4 linked regions of the Saccharomyces cerevisiae S288C genome follow. The protein of the gene in region 3 interacts with the protein of the main gene of each other region in a biochemical or structural test. Each region holds a gene or a part of one and is shown on either strand. Other genes may lie near its edges. The genes, in order: SEC22, SLY1, SED5 and BET1.

The links.
Region 1: the proteins of SED5 (region 3) and SEC22 form a complex in vitro, tested with the Saccharomyces cerevisiae proteins (5 studies listed by BioGRID).
Region 2: the proteins of SED5 (region 3) and SLY1 form a complex in vitro, tested with the Saccharomyces cerevisiae proteins (7 studies listed by BioGRID, with this or other methods).
Region 4: the proteins of SED5 (region 3) and BET1 form a complex in vitro, tested with the Saccharomyces cerevisiae proteins (4 studies listed by BioGRID).

Annotation. Positions count from the first base shown.
Region 1 is NC_001144.5:678,564-681,418, reverse strand, and holds SEC22 (SNAP receptor SEC22), read right to left. Parts: upstream 1,220-2,855; coding exon 575-1,219; downstream 1-574. Other genes in the region: DCS1 (5'-(N(7)-methyl 5'-triphosphoguanosine)-(mRNA) diphosphatase), read right to left, coding at 1-233; BOP2 (Bop2p), read right to left, coding at 1,495-2,855. UniProt on the Saccharomyces cerevisiae protein: Nonessential SNARE involved in targeting and fusion of ER-derived transport vesicles with the Golgi complex as well as Golgi-derived retrograde transport vesicles with the ER.
Region 2 is NC_001136.10:836,349-840,917, forward strand, and holds SLY1 (syntaxin-binding protein), read left to right. Parts: upstream 1-2,043; coding exon 2,044-4,044; downstream 4,045-4,569. Other genes in the region: chaperonin-containing T-complex subunit CCT6, read left to right, coding at 73-1,713; RVB1 (RuvB family ATP-dependent DNA helicase pontin), read right to left, coding at 4,256-4,569. UniProt on the Saccharomyces cerevisiae protein: Able to suppress the functional loss of YPT1. SLY1 is essential for cell viability. May interact indirectly, or directly with YPT1.
Region 3 is NC_001144.5:194,950-198,343, forward strand, and holds SED5 (t-SNARE syntaxin), read right to left. Parts: upstream 1,524-3,394; coding exon 501-1,523; downstream 1-500. Other genes in the region: ESCRT-III subunit protein SNF7, read left to right, coding at 1-225; aspartate transaminase AAT2, read right to left, coding at 1,880-3,136. UniProt on the Saccharomyces cerevisiae protein: Required for vesicular transport between the endoplasmic reticulum and the Golgi complex. Acts as a target organelle soluble NSF attachment protein receptor (t-SNARE).
Region 4 is NC_001141.2:347,404-350,198, forward strand, and holds BET1 (Bet1p), read right to left. Parts: upstream 1,103-2,795; coding exon 1,092-1,102; intron 961-1,091; coding exon 543-960; downstream 1-542. Other genes in the region: protein disulfide isomerase EPS1, read left to right, coding at 1-394; iron-sulfur cluster assembly protein CFD1, read left to right, coding at 1,719-2,600. UniProt on the Saccharomyces cerevisiae protein: SNARE required for targeting and fusion of ER-derived transport vesicles with the Golgi complex.

The sequences.
Region 1 (2,855 bases), 480 kb from region 3:
CAAGAATATTCGTTTTCACAATTATATAAAACTGGAGTGGAGCGGCCATCTTGAGAGGGTCTTCTCACGGTTTCGTCAAATAGAAAGTGCGTCTTTTCAGCCGTGATAATAGCATCCTTGTTGTCAATGGTTCCCAATAAGGACATAACTTTGGTTTGAGGGTTGGAATCGAGGACACTAACAAATTGGAATCTCTTGATCAATGAAGCAAAATCTGTTGGCAGTTGAGACATGGTATATGCTAATTTTGTCGTTTCGCTTTCTTTTTTTTTCCAGGAATTATAACTTAATACTATGTGATTATTTAGTTAATACACAGACAGTTAATAGAGTAGTGATGGCAATTCGATCATCCAAAAGAGTTGGAAAGCCTCTTTTCCTTCGATATATAGTGATGATATCCTTGAAAAGACTCCCTAAAAAGTGCAGGTGCGGCGGGTCACCTGCCAGCTTGCCTGAAAAATACGTAATTATGTCAAATAAATTGCCATACTATACTAATACTGAACTAGACTATGTTATACACTTGGACCAAATTGATCGGGATTTGTGATGTGGGATGATGGGGTGACGTCTATTTGAGGAAGATCCACCAGAAGAGAAAGACGAAAAAGAAAGCGACAATGACAATAGGAGCATATTGACTGATCAAGAGATCGAAGTTGATCTTTTGCGCGGACTTTCTGTACCTTTTGGATGTTTCTTTCAAAGAAGAACTCATGTCACTCATTTTATCGAGAGAATCTCCCCTGTAAAGTAGGTCTTCGATGTTCTTGGACATGATTTGCTTGACACCTACAAGCTCTTGGTTTAGTTGGTCCAAATTGTCCTGAACTTTCTTATCACTGTATGACTTTTTTGTCATCTGTAGAAAGTTATCAAAGTTTACAAACTGGTATGGTCTTACGGTAGGCTTGGGGTACTCATTAGCAAATGAGTGTTCAAATTCTTGCGCTATATCGTTAAGGTATGAGAATGCTAAGTTTCTTGGGTATCCAGATTCGCAAATGACGAAGTAGTACACCATGGATTTCTTCAAATAATGGATCTCAAAGGAGCCACTTTCCAAAGTAGCCTCCGTGGCAGACTGTGGTGTCAATCTGGAAACGACGATTTTCACCTTTTGCTTTTGTTCAAATAATGAGGGATCATTTTCGTTGTCCACAGACGTACAAAGAGGCAGCCCATCTTCTCTGTAGATTAGTGTTGACTTTATCATCCCTACTTAATTGTGAGTGTGTAACGGGGTGTCACTGTCAGGGTTTTTGTTGGTTTTGGGTAATAATAGGTTGTAGATATATTATATTACATGGGCTCTACTTGTTTATCTTCTATGGTAGAAAAAGACCGAAAAATGAAAACAAAAAGCGTTGAGGATTTATTGCTAAAAAAAAATTCGTTTATGACGTCTCTTATTAGATAAATCAAGTGATAACTAGAGAAATTTATTTAATTATATATGCTAGTACAACACGTTTGGTTGAAAATTAGACCTCAAACCACGACAAACTTCTGTCTTATATCGAAGAAAGTTGGGAAACTCTCCCGCAGGTCCAGATTTGGTAAATGGTCTTGTAGGTTACTGATATTAAGAACGTAGTTAGAGTCGTCCTCTAATTGAGCAAATCCCAATTTCTTGCATTGTGGTAGTTCATTCCATGAAGTGAACTCTATACAACTCATATCATTTGACGCTTGTTTTTGGTGTTGGGTGGTGTCGCAAAGGGTATTGTTGATGAACAGTTCCTGCAGATTTGGTAGGTAAAATCCCTGGATTCGGATGGATGAACATTTTTCAATACGTATGATTTTGACAGTGAGCGATCTTAAAGAGTTGTTCTTCAAGCAAATCATTGGCCTCTTTAAATGGTGTCTTTGTTTGAAGGTATCATCGCTAAATGAAGAAGTAAAGGGGATCCAGTTGATTATTTGAGTTTTTTCTACCCCCTCAGGTATCAACTTGACTCTGAAATAGCAAGTACCATCGTTGGTTTCGTTAATTGCCATTTCTTGCAAAATTTTAATGTTTCCCCTCAATGATTTGATGTACCTTTCTGGTGAACCTGAAAATGTTGTTTCGTCATACTTGAATTTGTGCCCAGTGAATTCTTTAATCTTGGGCATTGACCAATTTTTCAAAGAGTGCAACTGAAAGAGGAAATTTATCGAGATATTCTCACTTAAACATTTGTTTAGAACATATGAAGATAAATCTATGAAGTTACAACATTGGGTAATCTCATTATTGTTTGGGTAGGTAGACATCTTAATAAAATTCAAGGTAACCAAATTAGGGAAGCTGATATGAAAATTGTTGAAGAATTGTTGCAAGATCGACTTGATAATTAAAGCTGCTACTGTCGTTGTCGAGTTTAAATTTAAATTTTTATCCACGTCAAACTCATTGTTCCTTTCAAATGTTTTTATCTTTGTTGTTAGTTTATGCAGTATCGAATTAAAGAATGAATCAAGGGCCATATAATCCAAATTCAATGTTTCAACAAAGGGAAAACAGATTTTCTTGCAAATGGGGGGTCTTTTCTTCCCCTTTTCGTTAGTCTTAGAAAAGAAGTTTCTATAGTTTTTATTAATCAGCTGAAAAATATCGGGATCAAAAATCCCAAAGAAATTTTGATCCGAATAGATATTTGAATCCACGAAGTCCAGATACAATGTGTTAATATCAATATCTGCGACTATGTTCGCAATATGTAATTTTTCCAAAGGTGAATAAAACGAACTCTTTATATTGCGAACACAGAATACGAACTCGATTATGTTTGAATTGGAATTCGCCAAGGGGAAGAAGGTTTCTATGAGTTTCAAATCTGAGAATTCGTCAAATATAACAATAA
Region 2 (4,569 bases), on a different chromosome or scaffold from region 3:
GTGGAAAAGGTAAAGGTTAAGGGTGTGGAAGCAGTGAGAAGCAGAAGATTATAATATAAGTAGAGTAGAAGCATGTCATTGCAATTGTTGAATCCGAAGGCTGAATCGTTGAGAAGGGATGCGGCTTTGAAGGTTAACGTCACATCTGCTGAGGGCTTACAATCCGTCCTAGAGACCAACTTGGGCCCTAAGGGCACGCTAAAGATGCTTGTGGATGGTGCTGGTAACATCAAGCTGACCAAGGACGGTAAAGTGTTGCTGACCGAGATGCAGATCCAGTCGCCTACAGCGGTACTGATTGCTAGGGCAGCTGCCGCGCAGGATGAAATCACGGGCGATGGGACCACGACGGTTGTGTGTCTTGTGGGTGAATTGCTTAGACAAGCGCACCGTTTCATTCAAGAGGGCGTGCATCCGCGGATCATCACTGATGGGTTTGAGATTGCGCGGAAGGAGTCCATGAAATTTTTGGACGAATTCAAGATCAGTAAGACGAACCTTTCCAATGATAGAGAGTTCCTTCTGCAAGTGGCCCGGTCGTCGCTGCTAACCAAGGTGGACGCTGACTTGACGGAGGTCTTGACGCCCATTGTAACGGATGCGGTGCTAAGCGTGTACGACGCGCAGGCTGACAATTTGGATTTACACATGGTTGAGATCATGCAGATGCAGCACTTGTCTCCTAAAGATACCACTTTTATTAAGGGTTTGGTATTGGACCACGGTGGTAGGCATCCTGACATGCCCACCCGTGTGAAGAACGCGTATGTTTTGATTTTGAACGTATCTTTGGAATACGAGAAGACTGAAGTTAACTCTGGGTTCTTTTACAGTTCTGCGGACCAAAGGGACAAGTTGGCCGCTAGTGAGAGGAAGTTTGTGGATGCCAAGTTGAAGAAGATCATCGACTTGAAAAACGAAGTTTGTGGCATGGATCCAGACAAGGGTTTTGTTATCATTAACCAAAAAGGCATTGACCCCATGTCTTTAGACGTGTTTGCCAAACACAACATCTTGGCTTTGAGAAGGGCCAAGAGACGTAACATGGAAAGATTGCAATTGGTCACTGGCGGTGAAGCTCAGAACTCTGTGGAAGACTTGTCGCCTCAGATTCTTGGGTTTTCTGGCTTGGTCTACCAAGAAACCATAGGCGAGGAAAAATTCACATACGTTACAGAGAACACTGACCCCAAGTCTTGCACCATCTTAATCAAGGGCTCCACTCATTATGCCCTCGCTCAAACAAAGGATGCGGTGAGAGATGGTCTCAGAGCTGTGGCAAACGTTCTCAAGGACAAAAACATCATTCCAGGCGCTGGTGCGTTCTACATCGCCCTTTCGAGATACCTAAGATCTGCCAACATGAACAAGTTGGGTGCCAAGGGTAAAACAAAGACAGGTATTGAGGCGTTCGCAGAAGCATTGCTGGTAATTCCAAAGACTTTGGTGAAGAACTCAGGATTCGACCCATTGGACGTGCTCGCAATGGTGGAGGACGAGTTGGATGACGCTCAGGATTCTGACGAAACGAGATATGTTGGTGTGGACTTGAACATAGGTGATTCTTGCGACCCTACCATCGAGGGTATTTGGGATTCCTACCGCGTACTAAGAAATGCTATTACCGGTGCTACAGGTATTGCCAGCAACTTGTTATTATGCGATGAATTGTTAAGGGCAGGTAGATCCACTTTGAAAGAAACACCACAGTAATAAAAAATAATAATAATAATAATAATAACAAGAACACGAATACTAGTAGTAATAGTAGTCAGATACAAAAATTCTATGTAACATATTTTTTCCAGTCACTATCATCATCATCATATTTTGTATATATACATTTATTATATAAAATATCATACCAATTTTTGCCAAAGAACACCGTTTCCCTCTTCGCGTTGACCACAGTAATTGCAGAAACGACAAAAAAAAAACAAAAAAAAGAAGCACCATTCTAACTCAGCCTTTAATAACCTGACATGATAACTTATAATAGTCATTGCCAGTTGCTAAGTATCTTTGACCAAAAATCACAACATCATGGCTGTGGAGGAAATTGCGTCCCGCAAGGACATTAGTTTAAGAGATATGCAAATCTCTGCCATATTAAAAATGCTGTTTTTAAATAAGGATTTGAACAACAACGACAACATCACCACCATCACAGACGATATTTTTAACCAGCAGGAGATCATCTGGAAGGTGTTGATACTGGACATCAAGAGCACTGCTACCATATCTTCTGTTCTCAGAGTCAATGACCTGCTGAAAGCTGGTATCACCGTTCATTCCTTGATTAAACAAGACAGATCTCCCTTGCCAGATGTCCCTGCCATATATTTCGTCTCCCCCACAAAGGAAAACATTGACATTATAGTCAATGACTTGAAAAGCGACAAGTATTCTGAATTTTACATCAACTTTACCTCATCTCTGCCCAGAAACCTCCTGGAAGATTTGGCTCAACAAGTCTCCATCACGGGTAAATCTGATAAAATCAAACAAGTTTACGACCAATACCTGGACTTCATTGTAACTGAACCGGAACTGTTCTCACTAGAAATTTCAAACGCATACTTGACATTGAATGACCCGAAAACCACAGAAGAGGAAATCACGGGCTTATGCGCCAACATCGCGGACGGTTTATTCAACACTGTCTTAACGATCAATTCTATCCCCATTATAAGAGCAGCTAAGGGTGGGCCTGCTGAGATCATCGCTGAGAAACTGGGTACAAAATTACGTGATTTCGTCATCAATACCAATTCCTCCTCCACTTCCACTTTGCAGGGAAATGATTCTCTGGAAAGAGGAGTGTTGATTATTTTGGATAGAAACATAGATTTTGCCTCCATGTTTTCACATTCGTGGATTTATCAGTGCATGGTCTTTGATATTTTCAAATTATCAAGAAACACCGTTACTATTCCACTTGAAAGTAAGGAAAACGGAACTGACAATACCACCGCAAAACCATTAGCCACGAAAAAATATGATATAGAGCCAAACGATTTTTTTTGGATGGAAAACTCTCATTTGCCATTCCCAGAAGCTGCAGAGAACGTTGAAGCGGCATTGAATACGTACAAGGAGGAAGCCGCAGAAATTACTAGGAAAACTGGTGTTACCAACATATCAGATTTGGACCCAAACTCGAATAATGATACGGTTCAAATTCAGGAAGTCGTAAAGAAACTGCCAGAGTTAACAGCTAAGAAAAATACTATTGATACACATATGAATATTTTTGCTGCATTGTTGTCACAATTGGAAAGTAAAAGTCTTGATACTTTCTTTGAAGTTGAACAAGACCCTGGAAGCACCAAAACAAGATCTAGGTTTTTGGATATACTAAAAGATGGTAAGACAAACAATCTTGAGGACAAACTGAGATCGTTTATTGTTCTTTACTTGACATCAACGACAGGCTTACCAAAGGATTTTGTCCAAAATGTGGAAAACTATTTCAAGGAAAACGATTACGATATCAATGCTTTAAAATATGTTTATAAGCTAAGAGAGTTCATGCAATTATCAAATATGTCGTTACAAAATAAATCTTTGGAAGATGGATCCGATTCCGCTTTCAAACCAAGCAACTTAACATTATCCGGTATCTATGGCTTAACTGAAGGCAAATTACAAGGAGGTGTAGGAAGTTTAATATCAGGTATTAAGAAGTTACTGCCTGAAAAGAAAACCATCCCGATAACAAATGTTGTTGATGCGATAATGGACCCTTTAAACAGCTCTCAAAAAAATTTGGAGACTACTGACAGTTACCTATACATCGACCCAAAAATTACAAGGGGTTCCCATACCAGAAAGCCAAAAAGACAATCTTATAATAAGTCACTAGTGTTTGTAGTTGGTGGCGGTAACTACCTAGAATATCAAAACCTCCAAGAATGGGCACATTCCCAGTTGCATAATCCCAAAAAAGTCATGTATGGTAGCACAGCCATTACCACACCAGCTGAATTCTTAAATGAGATTTCTCGCCTTGGCGCAAGTAATAGCAGCAACAACGATGCATAATTGGCATCTAGCCCCAATGACGATACACTAATATATATATATATATATATATCTATATATCTGCAAGAAATAAGCGTGTGTAGTAAGTAAAAGGAAAAATAGAAATTTTTGCTCAAAAATAACGGTCCCATTTTGATACAATGTTTTTGGTTTAGTGATTTGCGTAATATTTATTTTTATTTATGAAATGTGCTTTAGGCTTTCTTCACTGTTACAAATAATTTGCGGAAGTTTCTAAAATCTTTGTTGACCTTTTGGCATCCAAAAACAGCAATTTGGCTTCATTAACGTCATTAACAACAATTTCCTTACGATTGCTTGTTTGTGCTAGGATACCACATGGTGCCAATAATTGTAAAGCGTAACGTAACGAAGTTTCTGTACCCATCGTGGCTAAAAGGTCCAATGCGCTACTTTCTACTTGCAATCTTTCAACGGTAGCTCTTCTCTCTATAATGGTACGGATCTCGTCCTTGTCATATGGTAATGTACGAACAATTAACAATCTATCGATCAAATCAGGTG
Region 3 (3,394 bases):
TTGGACATGCTGGCTCAAGAAAATGCTAACCAAGAAACGTCCAAGATCGTTAATAATAATGTTAATGCGGCGCCTATCTCAGAGAACAAAGTCTCACTACCTAGTGTTCCAAGTAATAAAATTAAACAAAGTGAGAACTCTGTGAAGGACGGGGAAGAGGAAGAGGATGAAGAAGATGAAGATGAAAAAGCATTAAGAGAACTACAAGCAGAAATGGGGCTTTGAACGTGTTCTATGCGGTTTAGATGAAAGAAAAAAAAAAGGTGTTCTTACTTTCCATGTTCTGTATACGCTCTTTTATATACATGAAGTTCATAATGCTAAGTCATAATTAATAGTTTTTATTTTTTTGTTGTCTTTTTTTTTTGCGTTCATAGGTATAGAAGGGAATGTGCATTCATTATTTTTATCTGTTATTGCTATATTATTGTACAGAAAAGATGAGAGAAGGAAAAAAAATAAATAATCAAATATGTATCTTTTTTTCTTTTACTTTGCTTTTAATTGACTAAAACCCAAATAACGAAAAATACAAAGATTATAAAAAAAACCTTTGCGGCTAACCATCTATTACTCTTTATCCTGTCGAAGTATTTCAAAAGTTCCCTTTGAGCACCACTAATGTTTAAATCGATGTCGTCTACGTTTGCATCAATCCTTTGGATTACTTCGCCCTGTTCTTGAACCATGGAGGCCAGTTGTTGGAAGAGATTTCCCACTTCCTGGATTGTGGATTCTATTGTCTCCACCGCCCTATTTCTTTCTTGTAAGTAGACGTTATTGGATAACTGTCCCTCTTCCATTAACATTAGTTGAGAGTCGTTTTGAGGGAAAGACAGTTCTCCTTGGTTGGACGAGTTGTTATTCTTTTCTGAGGATTCATCTAGTAGTGAGGTCATGAATGGGTTGGAGTTGTTATACGTGGTCAAGTCCGCGGCGTGATTGCTTTGCGTTTGGTCATCAGCTGGTGCATGTCCAGTGTCGGTGGTTAGTTTTTGCCATCTGTCTTTGTTAGCCATTTCTAGTCGTTGCCTTTCCTCCAATACGTCTTTAAAACTTCCTGATATGTTTTTCATTTGCGTGTTTAAAAGATTTACGACATTTTTGGAGTGCTGTACGGCACTAGGTTGCTTAGAAGATTGATTTGATGTGTTGCCATTCACGTCGGTTTTCTTGAGCTGACTTAATTGCACTAAACTTTGTTCGATGGCATAAATCTTCCTTTTGATCAAAAATGATAGCTCGGCAATCTCTACAGGGTTGTCATTGAACATCGGTTTCCTTTTGGCCAGCACTGCTAATTTCGATAATAATTGTGCGGTGGATGAAATTTCGTGAGCTATGCCAGAAGCCTTTTTTTGAAACTCAGAGACACTTTTCCCATTGCCGGTTGTGTTGTTGGCAAAGTTTTCACTTTCTTTCTCTTGTAGACGTTCCCTCTGCTGTTCTCTAAAGTTTTTGTTTCTTTTCTTGTAACTCAACACACTTTGTTGAAATTCTGAAGTTCTATCCTTTATGTTCATGGGAGTTGTGTGGTATGGTGAAATGGTCGTTGGAAACAGAGGTGGAATAAAATATATACAGTAAAGAGTGGGTGATTTCCGTTCAAAGGTCTAACAGGAGCGTCGATGCGGCGGTAGGATTTTTTTTTTTTTTTCAATTTCTATATTGACATTATTATCATAATGATTGTTTCGAATATGCCCTTTCGCCTCGCCTCGATCAATAAACCTACCCGGATATTACAACAACATAATAATACACCTGTGAAGGTAAAGAAAGAGCATTTCTCTTTTTTTTATTTTTTTTTTTTTTTACTTTCTTTACATTAAAAAAAATATGAAGAGTGTAATAGGTAAGTATAAGTATTATTTAATCATTACAATTTAGCTTCAATAGTATAGAAGCGCACCACTTCATCAATGGCTTTAGCCACGTATTCCACGTTTCCTTGATTCAATCCAGCAATAGAAGCTCTACCTGAGGCAACCAAGTAAACTGCGTGGGTTTCTTCAAGTCGTTTAACCATTTGAGGAGTCAATCCTGTAAAGGAGAACATCCCGCATTGATTTACTATATGATCCCAGTTGCCAGGAGTGCCCAACTTGACTAAATGGTCTCTTAATGCGTGCCTCATTTTCGTAATTCTGGAGGACATGGTAACCATATCCTTGTGCCACTGTTCCGTTAATTCTGGCGTTTCCAACAGTTTAGCGACAATCTTAGCGCCGTAGGCGGGTGGGTTGGACACTTCACTACGAATGATTTTGGCCAATTGAGATGTAACAGCAGGCTTTATAGTTTTGTTTTGAGCTTGTTTTGTAAGTGCTAGATGGAAACAACCTACACGCTCACCGTACATACCGGCGTTCTTGGCAAAGGACTGACAGACAAAGACGGGAGAGACCGTTGAAAGCTTCTCCACACCTAGACGCACAGCATAGGCATCCTTGTCCAAATCTCCAGTGGCAAACCCTTGGTAGGCGGTGTCAAATAAGGCGATGTGGTTCTTTGAGGCGATAGCATCAACGATTTGAACCCATTGTTCACTAGTAGGGTCCAGACCAGTTGGGTTATGGGCGCAAGAGTGCAGAACGAAAATGGAGCCCTCTGGAGCTTTTTGAATAGCATTTAGAAAGCCGTTTAGGTCCAAAGACTTAGTTTCGTTGGCCCAGTAAGGGTAAGTCGCCGTTTTCAAGCCTTGATTCTCAAAAATGGCCATGTGGTTGGCCCAAGTAGGCTTAGACAAATAGACCAGTTTATCTGGGAAGAATTTTGAAAAAAACTTCGCAGATATATGAAGAGCACCCGTACCAGACAGTGATTGTACTGAGATTACTCTGTCTTCCTGAAAGGCATCGGATTGCGTACCGAAGATGATCTTGGCGGCGTTAGATGTCAAACTTGGCAGACCGGTAATACCGAGGTATTCATGGTTGTAGGAGCTGTCGTTATGAATTAGCTTTTCGGCGGCTTTAACACTTGGCAAGACCCATGGTTTACCGTTGTCGTCTCTGTAGGCCCCGATACCCAAGTCGACCTTGGTAGCACGTTGATCTTGCCCGTACCTTTGCTTAATACCAAAAAGGGCATCAGGGGGCAGCAATTCGATGTTATTGAACAGAGTGGCAGACATTATCGCTCTTGTGTTCTTGTATTCCTGTGTTCTTTTGTTCATTAGAATTTGGACGGTTGCGCTTTCCCTTCTTAAAGTATCCACATACGTTTATATACCGACGTGCAAGGCGACAAGGTAAATGAGGCCGATCACGCTGACTCACTCGGTCCGACTCTCGGCGATCGTTATTCACGAAGACGAAAGATAGCCATTTCCAGTGGTGACCATTAGTATTGACAATATGTACATCGCATTAAACAGTAAGAAAACATTAAT
Region 4 (2,795 bases), on a different chromosome or scaffold from region 3:
TATTACTGGAGAATATAAAATTGGTGATGTGATTATCATTGATAAATCAAATAATTACTACTACAATAAAGATAATTTTGGCAACTCCTTGACTTCTAACAACCCTCAATTGCTGAGAGAAGCATTCGTGTCCTTAAATATTCCATCAAAAGCTCTATACAGCTCTAAGTTGAAGGGGAGATTGATAAATTCTCCATTCCATAATGTCCTCAGTTTCCTAGACATAATCCACGGGAACGGCATGCCCGGTTACTTAATTGTTATTGTTTTGTTTATCGCAATACTCAAAGGTCCATCTATTTACAGAAGATACAAAGTAAGGAAACACTATAGGGCGAAAAGGAACGCTGTCGGTATCCTAGGAAATATGGAGAAAAAAAAAAATCAAGATTAAACGCTTAAGTAGTTATAAAAATAAAAGAATGCTGATATCTTATGATGCTATCATAACTATCCTTTATTTCACGTATCAATATCTACAATCATCTAACAAACGTCGCTCTTATTTTGTCACTTAGGTTTAATGTACAATATGCAAATATTTATGTAATCCATACCCAAAAAAATAGCACGCCTACCATAAAAAATATTATTAACCATGTTTTTATACTGATCCCAGATCTTCTGGCCATCTCCATCATGTTTCCAAAAGTCCTTTTGAGTTTTACAGAAGTGTTATGGAAAGTATCACCAAGCTGGTCAATAGTTTGATTGCTGCCTCTAATCTCATCACCCATCTTCAACGATAATGACTTGAGTGCTTTTATTCTCTGACCCATAGCTCCCATCTGTTCCTCACTTTGAGATTCAAGAGATGCCAAAGTACTTTGGGAGTAGTCTAATTTATCTGTGCTCCCTAGCGCTGATGATACATTGTCATCGAGACTATTTGATCCATCAGCCGGTCCGAATAACTGTGTTCTACCAGTATCACGTTGATAAGCGTTTCCCCCTGCAAATCTATATACACACGCTATAGTTAGTAAACGAAGTTCACTCGTGGTCAATAACTCCCAATATCGAGGTGTTATGGTAGATGTTTAACAAAAAGCGCTACTCTAACTTTAGAATAGTCTAATAATTTCTCATACCTTGAACTCATCTGTGTAGCCTAGTGTTGTGAGGCTCTTCAATCACATTTTCTAACACATTCACAGTCTCAAGTGAACTACTGTTTGTTTTCTACCATTCCTTGGCAAAAGGCGCGAGTTGAAAAAACTCCATTTTTAACAACTACTGGATACTTTCGCAATTTAAAATTAATGGAAGAAAGAGCCGTGAACGTTCCTACGTAGCTTGCAACAACGGTAGAGTAGTATCCGCCAATTAGCATGCATAAATTTCATCTGAGATAGTGCAACATTATAAAAAATCACTAATACTTTCCCTGATATGTCGCCCCTTCAAATTTTTTGCACGCCACATCGATAAGAGTGAAACATATCCCTGAACAGTAACCTAGAATGTACAGAAATAACTGGAAATACAATTACAAAGCGATAATTACGGGATCTTTGGTTCCTATCACAGAGTAAACACCATGGGTTTATTAGATATTATTTGGAAGAATCACATTAGACGGCTCATCGCGCAAGTAATAGCAAAATGGAAAGAAATCGGAAGGCTTCATTAGTCATGAACGTTTTACACCATCAAAATGAAAACTATACACATGCGTCGAGGAGCACCCAAAACTAATACGACTATTACAATTAAGCATGGAGGAACAGGAGATAGGCGTTCCTGCGGCCTCTTTGGCAGGAATAAAACATATCATATTGATCCTTTCCGGAAAAGGTGGTGTCGGTAAAAGTTCGGTAACGACACAGACTGCGCTGACTCTTTGCAGTATGGGCTTCAAAGTTGGAGTTTTAGATATTGATTTAACAGGGCCATCCTTACCGAGGATGTTTGGCCTAGAGAACGAATCTATATATCAAGGTCCTGAAGGTTGGCAACCTGTGAAAGTGGAGACAAACTCTACTGGCTCTCTTAGTGTAATATCATTGGGGTTTCTACTAGGTGATAGAGGGAACAGCGTGATATGGAGGGGTCCTAAGAAGACTTCTATGATAAAACAATTCATCTCTGACGTCGCCTGGGGTGAACTGGATTACTTACTGATCGATACCCCTCCGGGAACGTCGGATGAACATATATCGATTGCAGAGGAGCTGAGATATTCCAAACCAGATGGTGGTATTGTAGTAACTACCCCACAGAGTGTTGCAACAGCTGATGTCAAAAAAGAAATCAATTTCTGCAAGAAGGTCGATTTAAAGATCCTCGGTATAATTGAAAACATGTCAGGGTTTGTATGCCCGCATTGTGCTGAGTGTACAAATATCTTTTCCAGTGGGGGTGGTAAAAGATTATCGGAGCAATTTTCTGTCCCATACCTTGGTAACGTTCCTATAGATCCAAAATTTGTAGAAATGATTGAGAATCAAGTTTCAAGTAAAAAAACGCTTGTAGAAATGTACAGAGAATCATCTCTTTGTCCCATTTTTGAAGAAATAATGAAGAAACTGAGGAAACAAGACACTACAACCCCTGTTGTGGATAAACACGAGCAACCCCAGATAGAATCTCCAAAATAAGATCCTCTCCTATGCATGTACGTATATATATATATATGTGTGTGTGTGTGTTTATATACACTTATATTTTGATCCTTGGGCCTAGAAATAAATTTCGATTCCTATTTCGATTCCTATATCGAAAGGTGGTTAGAAGCTAACCGGCAACTGCAGCATGTTCTTCAAGTGGTGATACAAATTTAAAAGGCCGGGTAA